Regions from separate parts of the Mus musculus genome. Here regions 2 and 3 are each reported to be linked to region 1. Evidence: microRNA targets listed by miRTarBase, many of them from high-throughput screens and not tested one by one. Region 1 holds a microRNA gene; each other region holds the end of a gene's coding sequence. Distances are from middle to middle.
What was found. The annotated mature microRNA mmu-miR-871-5p reads UAUUCAGAUUAGUGCCAGUCAUG and lies in region 1 at 2,170-2,192, shown strand. An mRNA with a match to its seed (bases 2 to 7 or 8) in the 3' UTR can be bound and repressed. Matches are read on the target gene's strand: a 7mer-m8 pairs with bases 2 to 8, a 7mer-A1 pairs with bases 2 to 7 and ends in A, and an 8mer does both.

Region 2: miRTarBase lists Sms as a target of mmu-miR-871-5p. Seed matches in the 3' UTR shown: 8mer at 2,339-2,346.
Region 3: the mRNA of Irx2 is a reported target of mmu-miR-871-5p. Seed matches in the 3' UTR shown: 8mer at 2,401-2,408.

The regions. Positions count from the first base shown.
Region 1 is chrX:66,807,552-66,812,663 of GRCm38, reverse strand. Mir871 (microRNA 871) reads left to right here and starts at 2,160; the gene lies at 2,160-2,236.
Region 2 is chrX:157,441,638-157,446,749 of GRCm38, forward strand. Sms (spermine synthase) reads right to left here. Exons shown (of 11, transcript NM_009214.4): 11 at 2,214-4,539. The coding sequence ends at 4,500. Among named protein-coding and RNA genes, the nearest start is that of Gm24281, 14 kb to the left of the region's middle.
Region 3 is chr13:72,631,721-72,636,832 of GRCm38, forward strand. It overlaps Irx2 (Iroquois homeobox 2), which reads left to right. Exons shown (of 5, transcript NM_010574.4): 3 at 1-250; 4 at 866-941; 5 at 1,544-2,476. The coding sequence ends at 918. Among named protein-coding and RNA genes, the nearest start is that of Irx2, 5.5 kb to the left of the region's middle.

The DNA.
Region 1 (5,112 bases):
TTTTCTTTATTTTGTACATTTAGTGTATTATCTGTTCTAACCTATTTTGTGGGATGAACCAGAATTCAGGAGCAGTTTTGGCAAGTGGAGTTGGGGAAATCAACTCTAGAGATCATCACTGAGTACAGATCTAATGTATTGTGCATTTGCAAGTGTTTTTATACAGCTTTTGGACCAATGGGGTATTGATACAAGCTCTGGAGTAGCCAACTATCCCACTGTTGGGAGGTGCCAGGCTATTAGCATATGAAGGGACCTCCATAAAAAATGGAAAGTAGCTATGGCCCTGTTCGGCCCATTGTGAGGTTTCCCTACTTTCAGTATCCAAATAAACAAAATCAGAATTAAAAAGGGAGACATTAACAAATAAAATTGAATAAATTCAAAGAATCATTAGCTCTTACTTTAAAAGCCTGTTCTACATAAATTTGGAAAATCTTTAACAGATTGTAAGACATTTTAGAAAGATACCTATTTCCAAAGTTCAATCAAGATCAAGTAAACTATTGAAACATCCCTATAACACTTAAGGAAAGGGAAACAGTTATCAAAAGAAAAAAGCCCAGGTGGTTTTAGTGCAGAATTCTACCAGGCTTTTAAAGAAAGAGCTAATGCCAGTACTGCTCAGACTATTGCACAAAATAGAAGCAGAAGGAATACTGCTAACTAAGAAAAAGAATTTCAGGCCGATTTATCTTGTCATATTAATGCAAATATATTCAATAAAATACTAAAAAAAATGCACCAGAGAACTAGGATAGGGCAGGTTCCTAAGAGTCAGTGGGGGTGATCTTAGCTGTGACTCACAGCATTGGGAATATGGAACCTGAAGATGGAACCTGAAGAGGCCATCTGCTGTAGCCAGGCAGGGACACCAATCTACACACAAAACTTTCATTTCAAATGTTATCCTGTCTGCAAGAAATGCAGGGACAGGGATGGAGCAGAGCCTAAGGAAATGGCCAACCAATAACTGGCCAACTAGAGACCTATCCCATGGTTAAGTACCAATCCCTGACACTCTTCATGATACTCTGTTATCTTGCAGACAGAAGTCTAGCATGGCTGTCTTCTGAGAGGCTCTACCCAGCAGTTGACTCAGACAGTCACAGCCAAACAGTAGATGGAACTTGTGGGCTCTTAATGGAAGAACAGAAGTAAAGATCTTGGGACCTGAAGGAGGATAGGAACTCCACAGGAAGACCAAGAGAATTCACTAACCTGGACCCTTGGGGCACTTAGAGACTGAGCTACCAACCAAGGAGCATACACAGGCTGAACCTAGGCCTCTCCGTACATATGAAGCAGATGGGCAGCTTGATCTTCATGTGGGTCCTAACAGCTGGAACTATTGCTAATGCTGTTGCCTGTCTACGAAATCCATTCCCCTAATCGGTTGCCTTCTGTCCTTCATCAAAGAGAGTGTGTCTAGCCTGGCAGAAACTTGGTATACTAGGGTGGGATTTTACCCAACCACCTACCCCCCCCCCCCGCCATCAGGGAAGAAAGGGAGGAAGGATTGGGGTGGCAGTGTTAGGAATGGAAAGTGAATAAATAAAAATAGACATTTGGGGTTTTTTTTTGTTTTTTGTTTGTTTGTTTTATTTTTTATTAGATATTTTCTTTATATACATTTCAAATGCTATCCCGAAAGTTCCCTATACCCTCCCTCCTCCCTGCTCCCCTACCCATCCACTCCTGGTTCTTGGCCCTGGCATTCCCCTGTATTGGGGCATATAAAGTACTACAATGAGATAATACTGTCCTAAAATAATGTGCTATATTAAATCAATAGAAAAAGGAAAAAATAGGCAGACAGAGAGATAAAATATACTTATGATGGCTTTTCTGCTCACAGGAAATATCACAAATCACCTCATTTACTTATTTGGACTATTGAGTATTATATTTAAAGTTTTTTTCAGAGGAAGTAATTTGGTTAAAAGTTCTGATAATTTGTTAAAGACATTCTAATACAATTAGTGGAAAACTAAAAAAGGCTTATTTTCATGACTCAACTCTTGACAGGAAGATAGGATCCATGAGAATCTTTTTTTCTGAAAATTCCAGGTGAAACTGGGTTTGTTGTCTGTGGCTCATAAATAGCTCTAGTAAGATTAAGGCTGGGGCATTGACAAATCTATGTTGTGTGAGTTGTGTGCAGTGCTCTATTCAGATTAGTGCCAGTCATGTGAAATACATATGACTGGCACCATTCTGGATAATGTAATGCTCACTATATTCTTCAAGTGATTTGACCCTGGATGTTCATGGTAGTATATACTTCGAAGAATGTTACATGCCTTCCATAATTTCAGCTTGTCATTTGATTCCTGTAGCATCTATAATTATAGAAAATATTTTCTTTTCTAGAAATCACAACTCAGGAGCACTTACAGTTCATAGAAGATAAAATTGGAGGATACTAAGTACCTTTATACTACAGGTAAAAACATGAAATGAATACAATTTTATATACTTAATTTTGACAATTAGACAAACAAACAAGAGTCCAGAGCATCCAGAGAGAAAAATATAATGTAAAGGAATATATATTTGTTTCCTTGAATGAAGTGTGGTGGTGGAGGTGTGTGATTCTTCTCTAAACACAGTAAGTATGAGGAAGTCTAATTTTTATCACAGCAGATCAGTCATGATTGTGATACATGTTTTGGTCCATTAGAAAATATGTTGATACAAGTTTTTCTTGTTCACTACCTGCCTATTAGGAATTTTCAGAGTGAATTTGGTACATCAATGAATAATTTTTAATGTTATTACCAGTAAGTTAGATTAAAAAATTAAAAAGAGTAGATTCGAAAATGAGGAAGTATAATTAAAATGGTAATAAAGAAAACCGCACATCTTCATTCCAAGTTGACACAGTCATTCACATAGAATGGAACTTAAGGGATCCGTTAAATAGAAGTCAATGGTGAGAGAGAATATCTTGTTATCTCTGAAATTATGAATAAGTCATAAGTTGGTATAGGTTTATGTTTTTTTAGTGCTGTGATGAAAGATGAACAGAAAGGTAGAAATTCCTGGTGTACCAGATCCACATTGTCTTTTGTGTATTTCTTTTCCCACAGTGGGGCTATTCAAATGAACTGCAAGTATACAGTAGCTCTCTGGGTAGAGGAAGGCTTATCTTTACCTCTTTTTAATGGCTTTTGGATGATAATGTAGGTGTAGATGAAATCACCCATGTTGTGTCTTCCTGGATATTTATAATTAGCTTTAGACCCTGTAGATCATTTGCTTATTTTCAAAATGTTTTAATTATCCATTCTTAGCCTCATAATAGTAATTCATAGGCTATATAAAATGAGTTAGTCAGGCCCGACTAAATTATTCATCCTCAGTATATTTTCAATTATATGCCTATAATAATGTTTGTACATTTTCAAGCAAAATGATAAAGAATATTAAAATAGTTTGTATATAAAGAAGAAATAGCAAATAAAAGTTCATATCTTTTTACTGTCATTCATCTAAGGAAATGGCAATTGATATAATCTAATATAATTTAAAGATAAGGTAACTAATAAGTGGGCAATTCTCCTGATGCTTTCAATAGATTACAAGAAGAATCCAATGTGCATTATTACTGGGTGTCATGGAGAAGTCTAGGAAATGACCTACTCATTAAATATGCCCTGGACAGTCGCAAATTGGTGCTGGTAGGATTAAATGAATGTAGCCAGGTACTCTCTGGGTAGAGTCAAGCTTGTATGATTCTCATAAGATCAGGGTTCTGGAAGGGATAGTGTAAGTGGTCTTGAAGCATTTTCCTTAACCTTAGGTTTTCTGATGATACTTGCAAAACCCAGACTTTTTAAATAGGATTTATTTCCTCATGAGCCTTTACAGATCGACATAAAGGAGATTATATTTTTCCTTGTAGTGAAAACAATATCAGGTAAATGTGTTGTAATTAAAAGATATATAGTAACAGATGCAAGGTGAAAGTCTTTATGACTATTGATGCCCAGAATATGTGAAATAAGTGTTACAATGCTTATATGTCATGCTATACTGACTAGATTAAGGCTGAAGAATATGATGGAGTCAGTGCAAATAACACAATGCCATGTGCACTGTCCTCCTCAGAAAAGTACCAAGCAGTTTTTTTTTTTGTGTGTTTTGTTTTGTTTTGTTTTGTTTTTGCCATCCATGTTTTCATGGTGGATAGTTACTTGCTCATACAATAGGGCATAGTATAGTTGATTCTGTATTTCCATGAGTTCATTGTTTGTTGTCATTCATCTTTACCTCAACCATTGTCAAGAAATTCAGGGTGGAATTTTCCTTTAACAGTAGTTACTAAAGGTTAGTAAAAAAGAAAGAACATTAAAATTCAAACAAGTACAAAAATGAAAGTAATAACAAATAGGTTATTTTCAACGTTAGCTATTCTTAGAAAATAAAGACACAGAGGATCTACTGTAAGACAAATTAAGCCCCATATATCTCTAGGATACAGTAATAAATTATGCCAGTGTGTGGGTATCGTGTTTGTTTGGTAACCTGATGGAAATTGAAGTGAATGATGAAAACTTTATTTGTATGGAATTCATATTAAAGTCTTTTCATGTGCAGTGCATTATCTAGACTGGGATTACTCACATGAAATTTCATGGCACCACACTGGGTGGAGGAAAGTTCACAGTATTTCTCTCAAGTGCCTATAAATAATCACCCAGATTTAGGTGAAATAATGTCTTTTTATTTTTCCCCTCCTGCCCCACCCTCCAACTGTTCCACATCCCACACCTCCCTTGCCTTTCTCTAAGAGGATGTCCCCAACCAGTCACCTCACCAGACCTCCCTTCTCCCTGGTGCCCCAAGTCTCTCTATGGTTAGGTGCATCTTTTCTGAGTCCAGACCTGGCAGTCCTCAGCTGTACATGTGTTAGGGGCCTCATATCAGCTGGTGTATTGGCCTGGTTGGTGGCTCAGCGTCTGAGAGATCCCAGGGTTCCAGGTTAGTTGAGACTGCTGGTCTTCCAATAGGGTCACCCTCCTCCTCAGCTTCTTTCCCTAATTCAGCCACAGGAGTCAGTAGCTTCTGCCCATTGGTTGGGTGTAAACATCTGCATGTGACTCTTTC
Region 2 (5,112 bases), 91 Mb from region 1:
GCTCAGATTGCTCGGTGGTTAAGAGTACTAGCTGCTCTTCCAGGACTGGAGTTCAATTCCTAGAACCTATGCCAGTTCACAACTATCTAGTACCTCCGGTTTTAAAGACCCCAACACCCCCTTCTAACCTTCAAGGATATCAGCCGCACAAGTTTAAACATATATGCATGGAAAACACCCATACACATTAAAAAATTAGAACAGTAAGCATTAAAAAAAAAAACTCTCAAGAAAGCCAATAGTGGTATAAATACTCAGGAAGTTGGAGCTGAAGAATCACAAGTTCAGGGCCTCCTTGGGCTATCAGAATTTAAAGTTTAGCCTGGACAAACTTAGTGACACCCTGAATCAAAATAAAAAGAAAATTAAGGATATAGCTCAGTGATAAGAGTACTATCATACATGAGGACCTAGGTTCAATCACCAGTACCAGTCCCGGGGTTTTGGGGGGAGGGAGGGCAGACACCCTGAGGAATCTTCTACCTACTGAAACCTAAATTTAAATTGCAGTCCTAAAAACAAGTCGGAGATACATATCCATAATCCTAGCCCCCACGATGTAGAATCGAGTTTGAGGTCATCCTCCAGCTATATAGTAAATTTAAGGCTGCTCTGGGATATATAAGATCAAAAAAAAAAAAAAAAAAGAATCTGGCTATGGAACCCTCAGGCATATTTACCCTTTGCTAGCTAACCTACTCAATGATATCAACATCTCATTTAAAACATAGTTTTGAGACTTAGCAAAACAACAGAAATGAATATGGTTTACTAGCTAAAATTATTAAATGTTAGTAATTATTTGGTAGAAAGATACTGGGCAGGGAGCTGAAGTGATGATGGCTGATCAGTTAAGGGCATTTGCTGCTCTTGTAGAGACTCTGGGTGTGAGTCTGTATGTGCTTGGCGCAGGCACTATTAGGAGGTACAGCCTTGTTAAGAATAGGTGTGCCCAGTCAGCTATTGGATGAACACAGGGCCCCCAATGGAGGAGCTAGAGAAAGTATCCAAGGAGCTAAAGGGATCTGCAACCCTATAGGTGGAACAACAATATGAACTAACCAGTACCCCAGAGCTCGTGTCTCTAGCTGCATGTGTATCAGAAGATAGACTAGCCGGCCATCACTGCAAAGAGAGGCCCATTGGACTTGCAAACTTTATATGCCCCAGTACAGGGGAACGCCAGGGCCAAAAAGGGGGAGTGGGTGGGTAGGGGAGTGGGGAGGAGGGTATGGGGGACTTTTGGGATAGCAGTGGAAATGTAAATGAGGAAAATACCTAATAAAAAATATTAAAAAAAAATAGGTGTGCCACTGTGGGTGTGGGCTTGAAAATGTTCCTCCTAGCTGCCTTCAGAATAAGACCTAGAACTCTCAGCTCCTCCATCCCCCACGCCTGCCTGGATGCTGCCATGCTCCCTCCTCAATGATAATGGACCGAGCCTCTGAACCTGTAAACCAGCCCCATTTAAATACCATCCTTATAAGAGTTGCCTTGATCATGGTGTCTCTTCACAGAAGTAAAACTCTAAGAGAATGGGTTTGGTTCCTAGCACCCACAAAGCAGCACATGGCTGCATATAACTCCAGTCCCAGGGGATCTGCCATCCTCTTCTGGCACCTGTGATATACACATATATGCAGACATACATACATATTTTCTTTTAAAAAGCAAGACTTTAAGAAAAGACAGTAGGCAACCAGGTGATCAGGTCAGGTGTTTCTTTTATGGTCACATAGCAGCTGCTGTGTAATAACAAGATAACACTGCTGACCAATTGGCCTCTAGAATAGTATGCACCCCCCCAAAAAAAATATGCTGTCAGAGGAATGTTAAGTAGCTAGTTCCACAATGAAAACAAGTACTGTTGTCTTTTCTGAGCAAGTCTTACCAGAGAGAACCCCTCAGTGGCAATAAAGTGCTTTGAAAGGGGAGCTGTTGCCAGGGTGGTGGTGGTACACGCCTGTCATCCTAGTACTCAGGAGGCAGAGGCAGGTGGATTCCTGTGAGTTCGAGGCCAGCCTGGTTTACAGAGTTCCAGGACAGCTGGGGCTACACAGAGAGCCCTGTCTGAAAACAAACCAAAAAGAAAAAAGGAAGGAGAAAGAAAACAGAACTATCAGATGAACCACCAGTGTGAGCAGCTCAGAAAGAGGCCAAGCCAGAACATAACACATATTTTCCTTCCCTTTCCCAGGCATAATGGAGACGGGATGAAATTGATCCATTTATTGAGAGACAGATGACAGGCAGAAATACAAAGTCTTGTGTCAGCAATTGTTAGGGAAAGCAAGGACATGACTATTCCAAGTCTACAGGAAGAAGCAGCACATTTGTTTATTCAGATAGTAATGTTCTAGCCCACTAAAACCACCACCAACCCAGCCTTCCCCGGCCCAGGTGGAGCTCTTTTATAAATATTCAATCACATTTCCAAGAGAAAGCAGCATTTCATGTCTTAATAAATCAATTCTTAGTATCTGCTGTGTTGAACAGAATTTAAACTCTATCCATATTTGTTTTGTCTTTCATTAAAAAAAAAGCAGGACACCATAATATATTCCACTGTTAAAAGAATCTTTCACACTACATAACACTACAGTATTAAGAAAAACAACAAATCCATTAGCATTCCTTAAGAGGCAGCCAAAGCGAAGGTGGGTCGGAGTAGAGCACAGGGTAGGGTGGGTGTTGGTTCAGTTTGCATGCTTCGGTGTCAAAATAACAAGGGCTCAAAACGGAGACCCTCCTTCAGCAAATCAGTCACATCTGAGTTCACATTTATCACTCAAGATAAAAACCTCTTTCTTCCTCCTTTCCTCAACACCACTTCCTTCATTTTATCCCAAATGCATCTCATAACCAATTAGCCTCACATAACCTTATCCTCTTCATTTCTACCACCTGGTGCTTAGCAGGAACTGAGTCACCCGAATTATGAGTGGATCTGTGGTTATGGCCTCAAGTTACTCTTCACGGATCACGCAGGTCAGTCCCCTCATTAATATTACCCCAGCAGCTGATATACTTGCTTTCTTTACTTAAATGGTAACAAGAATTAAGCTGTGTGATGGTACAAGCTCAATTCTTGTGAGCTTCCAGGAAAGCCTAGGCTACATAATAAGCTCCAGGTTAGACTGGGCTACATACATACAGTCACTGTTTCAAAAGTAATCGTAAGAATAACAGTACAGTGGGTAAGGGGCAATTGGCCTTAGCTAATATTCTAACTGTAGCAGTACATTTGTTTTCAATTCTCCACAATATACAAAGTTTTCAAAGCACTGGGGAAGAATTTGGGTGGAGAAGTGTCTACTGGGCTGTTTTTACCCTATGCATGCACCAAAAATATTGTTAAATGCATCTAATTTGAACATAACTATCAACTCCTTTTATTCTCTATTGTTTCTTCTTCCATGTCAATCTAAAACAAATGGCATAGGTTTGCGCTCACTTTTAAAGATCATTTGTCTTGTCCTGTCTTATTTGTTCCTTCCTATCTTGGGAGGGACAATGAAACTTGAGCCTGATTTCCATTAGTAAATTTTCAATGTTTTACTTGCTGTAAAAAAAAATACCATTCTACTGATACAGTGTAAATATTTTACACAAACAATAGGATAGACAATTCAAATTATCCACAATACAATGCCAAGTTGCTATTCACATGCACTTTCTTAAGAGTTAAGTTATTTTGCCACAGGACTACATGAACTCTAGTGTGCACTTGCACATCCTACAGTCTTCTCAAAGGCCTTTGGATCTCTAATCAGGGAGAGCAGTAACAGAAATCATCTTTGACTTTCACCCTTTTCAGGCAGGCAAAAATCTTCTGCTATCCTTGGAACAACTTTATAATGGGGGGGCGGCAAATATAATAGGTTGTGGATCGTTCCTCAAGGCCTTGACATTATGCTGAGTGCAGTTAACAGTCTAGATAGAATACACCTTTGCCCTAGGCCATCAGAGGTAAGAAAGAGGAAGAGAGGCTGAAATAAAGGGACAAACACCGTAAGAGGTCTCCTTTGTCATTTTAATTGAAGCACTGCTAATCACTCTTTTAAAACCTTTAAAAGCACCAAATTTTAATATCTAAGTCAATTTGGGGGTGAGAGGGGAGAAACACTATCAGGAACTTCTCTCCAGAACAAAACAATGATGTTCATTCCTCCACATGTCCAAATTAAAGGTCTACTGAAACCAAAATGAAAACCCAAACCCCACACAGAGAAAAAAAAATACTAAAATCACATTCTAGGGGGTCAGTGCATTCTGCAGTCTTTGCTGGGCTGTCTAATTGTCCTTCGGCTGACTTTTTAAAATTAACATCCTAACTCATCAAAATATACATTTTTCCCATTGGCTTTTTTAAATTAAAAATAATAATTAAAAGTGAAAACCACTAGAAGGAATTCATGAGCAGTTGCCTGACACATTTGATGGCATATACGGCATATGGAGGTCAGGAAGGTGGCTCGCAGCACACGTCATTCTCATCTTTAAGGCTTAGCTTTCTTCCAAACAGTGTAAAACACCCACCTGGACGGGAAGTCAAGGAACAAGGCAGGTCAATAAGGAAGGACAGGTACCACTTACCAGATAAGCCTACAAATTAGAAGGCGGACTCTGATTTATGGGTTTAGGTACAGCACTGTGGGGACAGCACAAAAGTTTTTGAACAAGACCACTCTGTAGCATAGGACACCCGTGCTACATACCGCGTGGGACATCTGAAAGGGGGATTGAGTGAACAAAGACTAAAGGACTGCACTCAGTTCTCTCTCTCAGGTAACACCTTCTGCTCTGAAGGTTTTCCAAAGGTTTGAAGAGTCAGTATGAAGGAAGATAGGAAAAGGATAAGATGGGATAGGAGGAAAGGAAATGGGCAAAGGGGGTGGAGTAGGCATGGTAAAGGGAGAACAGAAACGAGGGGGAAAGACTCAGAAGCTTTCTCCCAAGCCAGCCCTGCCTATTTCTCAAACCTCTAAGCACAAAAGAGAACACTAAGAGACATGGGAGCAGCGGTGATCTCCACAAGTCATTAAAGGACATGGCTGCCCAGCCAGCAGAATAGCCCCCTTTGGGCCAAAGACCTAGGCAGTTCTTGTCTCT
Region 3 (5,112 bases), not on the chromosome of region 1:
TACTCTGCTTCGCCCCTGCTGGGCCGCCACCTCTATTACACGTCCCCTTTCTATGGCAACTACACAAACTACGGGAACTTAAACGCAGCGCTGCAAGGCCAGGGCCTTCTGCGGTACAATACCGCGGCCTCCTCACCAGGCGAGACACTGCACGCCATGCCCAAGGCGGCCAGCGACACGGGCAAGGCGGGCTCGCATTCACTGGAGTCCCACTACAGGCCTCCGGGCGGCGGCTACGAGCCCAAGAAAGGTAGGCTGCCTGAGGCCCGCGGGGAGGGATTCTGGTAGTCAGAACTAGCCAGAAACCTGGGAAAGGGCGCCGGGAATGTGAGACCTTTGGACCAACTTAGCCTCTTGTCAGACCCAGAATTTGGGAGGCCAGTGTGGGGAGACCCGTTGAAGAGTGAAGGCAAAAAGGGCTAGCCCTCCTTTTTCGGTCTATCCTGCTTTATTTACTCTTTATTTAATTTACTGTTAATATTATCAAGTAACTATTTTGTTTTGGCAAACTTACTGGCAGGAAGTGTGATCTGTGCTTGTCTCCCTGGTGGGTGTAGTCTTTCTTCTGTGGTGTTGGTTAAAAATGGAGCTTAGTGGGATTCTGTCTGCCTTTGGCTCAAGGAAAGCACAGGTTCCTGGGAACTCTCGGAGGCCTAATTTTCTTACACTACCTCCATTGTTTCTAACTCTGCATCCCCGAGACTGGGGCTCGAGGAGAGGAAGAAAGGAAGGAGAAGGAGGGAGCATAAATAACGTGGATCTTAGATGCCCCGGGAGTATGTGTCCCTTGCAGGGATAAGAGCTGGGAGGTGCTTAGCTGCCAGGGGCTGTAGCCTGTCCTCACTAACTGCCCCTCCCCTGACAGATACCAGTGAGGGCTGTGCAGTTGTTGGTGCAGGCGTCCAGACCTACCTATAGGAGGGCCAAGGTCAGCAGTGCAAGTAAGTGGGTTCCCTCTGCATCCTCTAGCCCCCAAGTCCTTGTCCTGTGCAGTGTGGTGTGGTTTTGCTGGAGAATAGAGTATTGGCTTTCTTCTAGCCTCTTTGCCTTCTGTGTTATAGTTTTTTTTTCTTTTCTGCTCAAGTCCTGCTTTGTAGAATCACTTCTCTAAACAGAACACACACACACACACACACAACCACTGTGTTGTTGGTTGATGATGGTGGTTTCAAAGATTTGGGCATCTCTGTGTGCTTCAAAACTCTTTTAGACACATAAAGGACACCTTGTCTGATGAGTGAGTTGTGCAGAAAAGTGGGTATTTTGCCTGAAATGGATATTGCTTTCAGAATAAGACTAAAAAGACACCAGCAGGCCTGGTCTTTCATGGGCCTGCTACTTGGTGTTCAGTATCCACATGGACACTGTGGACTCTAGTTCTAGCCCAGAGCTGTTACAAAAATTTAAAACTAGACAACATTACTAGTTCTAGCCACTAAAGATGGCAAAGAGGCAGAGCCAGTAGACACAAGCTTGAATGTTGTGATGTGTTGACATGGAACTGAAGAATTTGGGATAATTTGGTCTTTTCCTTGGTCCACAGGTAGGTGTCACAATTGCTTTGGAAAAAAAAGTCAGGAGGCTATTCTCCCTTCCCAAGTTCATAAATACACAGATACAAACCCCAGATGTGGAAACCCGGACCACATTTTGTGCCACTGTATAAGAGGATGCACACTGCACTGCCAACCCACAGACTCTAAGGACTGGACACACGTTGTTTGGGCATATGAGAACTTGTTGTCATAGTATAGCTTCCCTATGTTTGTGTGACTTTTGGAAACAATCTGTTTTTTCTCAGGATATCCTCATCACTTCATTGCCACGGTATATATTCTATAGGTGTGATAGGACTTGCTGTAAAATTTATTTGTAAAAAAAAATGTACACGGTAGAACTAACGTGATTGAAGAACTTGAGTCCTTCAGAAGTGGAAACAAATTTGATATTTATTTTTATAATGATATAAAGCTTCTAGTAATTTATGCAAGTTGTATTGCAATGAAATCTAAAACTTTTGTAAATAAATTCTGCCTGGTTTTTATTTGAACATTGCTGGTTATACAATCTCTGTTGGTTGTTTAACATCAGTTCTCCTATTAATTTATATCTAAAACTGTAAATAAAAACAGACGCGCCTACAAGAAAATGGTGTTTGGGGCTCATTTTTACTGGAGACCCATTTGGGTAGAAGCTCCAGCGGTAGCCCTGGTTCCTGCCCCAAAGGTGGTCCTACCTCACCTTTTAAGTGAAGAGCCAGTGAAATAAACGTCCTTCTTGAGCTTATTTGAAAAACTGCAGACCTGAGAGAAATTAATGTACAACAGGGAGATACCTACGGTTCCAGTTTATTCACATAGAAATGTGTTTCCAGAAAGTAATTCAGGTTTTTTTTTGTTCTCTGAATATGCAAATCCCTACTTAGTGTAAATTTCTAAAACATGGAAGAAAACAAAATAAAAGGATATGCCACCTCTCTGCTTTTCATCTTCTTTTGTGGTGCTGGATCGGGTCCTCCCACTGATACTGGAGAGTCCTCCCCCAGGGAATGACTGATGGGGACACTTGTTTTCCTCAGCCTGCAGTATCTCAGTTGACATAGATCAAGCACATTTACTGAAGAACCCTTTACTTTTTCTTTCTGTTCAGCTCCCACTAACAGGAGGGGGCGGGAAGTTAGATTCTTTACTGTGGCACTCTGCTTACCCTTACCCTCAGGGAAAAGAAAAGTTTAAACATCCTCAGACATTGTCTCTTTATTGTCTACTCACCTCCTAATTACAGGACCAGCCTGGAATTTGCAGCCAAATAGCCCAGCCCCTTTGATTAGTATCATAAAAGCAACCACTCTGTCACTTCAGCTTTTCTCAAATTATGTAGATACCCATATAATAAAATTTCGGTGAAGAAACGAACAATCATTTATTTCCTCTGCAAAGATAAATTGAGTGAATATAACTTACGTTTATAAAGCAAGAATAATGGCTCCTTAGATTGCCCTTTAATCAATCATACACTTATTTTTCAAGAGGCTCACCTATTTCATCCCATGATTAATAACAGTGCGGCAGGGGAGCGTTATTGGAGCCCAGCGGGGGAGGTCTCTGGTGCTTTGGGCTGCTCTGGAATGGTCAGTTGGGGTTCATTATGGGCTGAGATTGAACGATTTATAAAATCTTGTCTAAACATCTGCCAGCTCCGATAGGCTGATGTGGCTGAGGATGGGAAATTGTAGGCCAGTTGCTATTGACAAAAGGATCTCTCTCCAGTGGCTTTTTGTGCCATAGAAATTAGTGGCCTCTTGCTGGGGTCTTGTTAGAAAGGGTATTGGAAAGTCATCTGAGGTACTTGAAGCAAAGCCCCAGCAGGCTGGCCTGGGGAGGCACTAAGTCGGGTGCCTATGGAGGGGGAAATGAAGGCCGCTTGGGCTTTAGGGATGGGTTTGAAATGCATGGGCACTCAGGGTTCAGACCTAAAGTCAGTTTCTGGTATCTGGTATGAGATACTTTTCTCTCCTCCCCTCCCTGCCTCCCTGGGTTGGGAATGGAGATGTTTTGAGCTGAGCTCTTGAGGTAAAAAGAGAAGATTATATATATATATGCAAATTAATTAATTCAACAGAGACCCTTGCTAGTCTGGGAGATTCCTGGGTTGGGGAGTCAGAGGGTAGTCTCGTTGTCTTTTTGTTGTTTGTTTCAGTTTCTTAGGATTTGCAGAGATAACCATCTCTCCTTCCAGATCCACTTTATGCTGCAGTACAGCAGTAACAAATGGCCTGGCCCTCCTGGCCCTTCTCTATTGGTGTAGGCCATGTTCACAAATCAGCAGAGAACTAAAAGGGCAGAGTGGCAGTATCTCTGTCACATGTAACGTTGTGACTTGAGTCTTTTGAAAATTTTAGGAGGGAGGTAGGAAAATTAACAAGATCTAACAAACAAAATGCCCAAGATAACTCTAATGAACAGGCATCATTTTAGGCAGAAGTTTGGCTATAGTGTGACTGCCAAGCCCAAATGTCCTTCTTGCATGTGCCCAGAATTAGAAAGCTGGCAGTGTGACCAAAGTGGATCTCAGGAAATTTTTCTTACCTGGACTTACTGGGTCCCTTTTGCAGCAAAAGGGCTCCAGACCTTCACCCGGTTCCAGAAGGCTGGCGTGTTTTGTTTCTCTCTGTGACATCCCAGAGGCCTCAGGAGATTAGCCAAAGCTAATGAAGCTGCTTTGATGTTTATATGCCCAACAAATTATCAGAGATTTCCATAGCTTACCCACCTCCCTCCCGACCTGAATATCTTACTGGAGAACTTGATTTTTAAATAAGCTCGAGGAACATAAAATTGCAGGTGTGTTTAGGGGGACTAAAGAGAGGGAGAGAGGGAGGGAGGAAGGGAGGGAGGGAGGGAGGGAGGGAGGGAGAGAGAAGAGAAGAGAAGAGAAGAGAAGAGAAGAGAAGAGAAGAGAAGAGAAGAGAAGAGAAGAGAAGAGAAGAGAAGAGAAGAGAAGAGAAGAGAAGAGAAGAGAAGAGAAGGAGAATCCCCATGTAGGGAAGTGACTTCCGTGGAGAAATGGGCCCCACAGAGCTCTGGCAGGGCAGCCACACTGAATTACAGACTGCCTGCATGCCCGGGCGCGCTGCTGACTATTGGGCCCCGCATTCGCGTAGTCTGGCCGCTGCAGCCAGAAGGGCAGAAGGCCCTCCACAGACCGGATTTCATTAGAGCCGATTTATCAGAATTCGCGCTTTAATCTCAGGTGGGCCCGAGGGCCGGGGCATTGACGAGAGCACGGTTGGGGGGGGGGGTGCACCAAGCTGCTGGCTTGGGTGCTGCCTCCTGCGCCCGTCAAATGTCAACATTTGTTCCCAATAAAAGAGTTATTGTCTCAGCAGAGCTGCCTAGCAACTGCCTTTGAAACTTGAAAAGAACTTCACCCACCTTTGTCTGAAAGTCAGGAGGGGCGGGCAACAGAGAATAAGGGGCAGGAACAATCAGCTGTCTAGCAGGGGTTGGGGTGAGTCTCCCAAGCACCCTCTTTTGGGCCTCGGTCTGCGCTCCTTCTGGATGTGGGAGAAAGGCTAGAACTGCATAGGGAGAGAGGTCTGCAGAGGTGTGT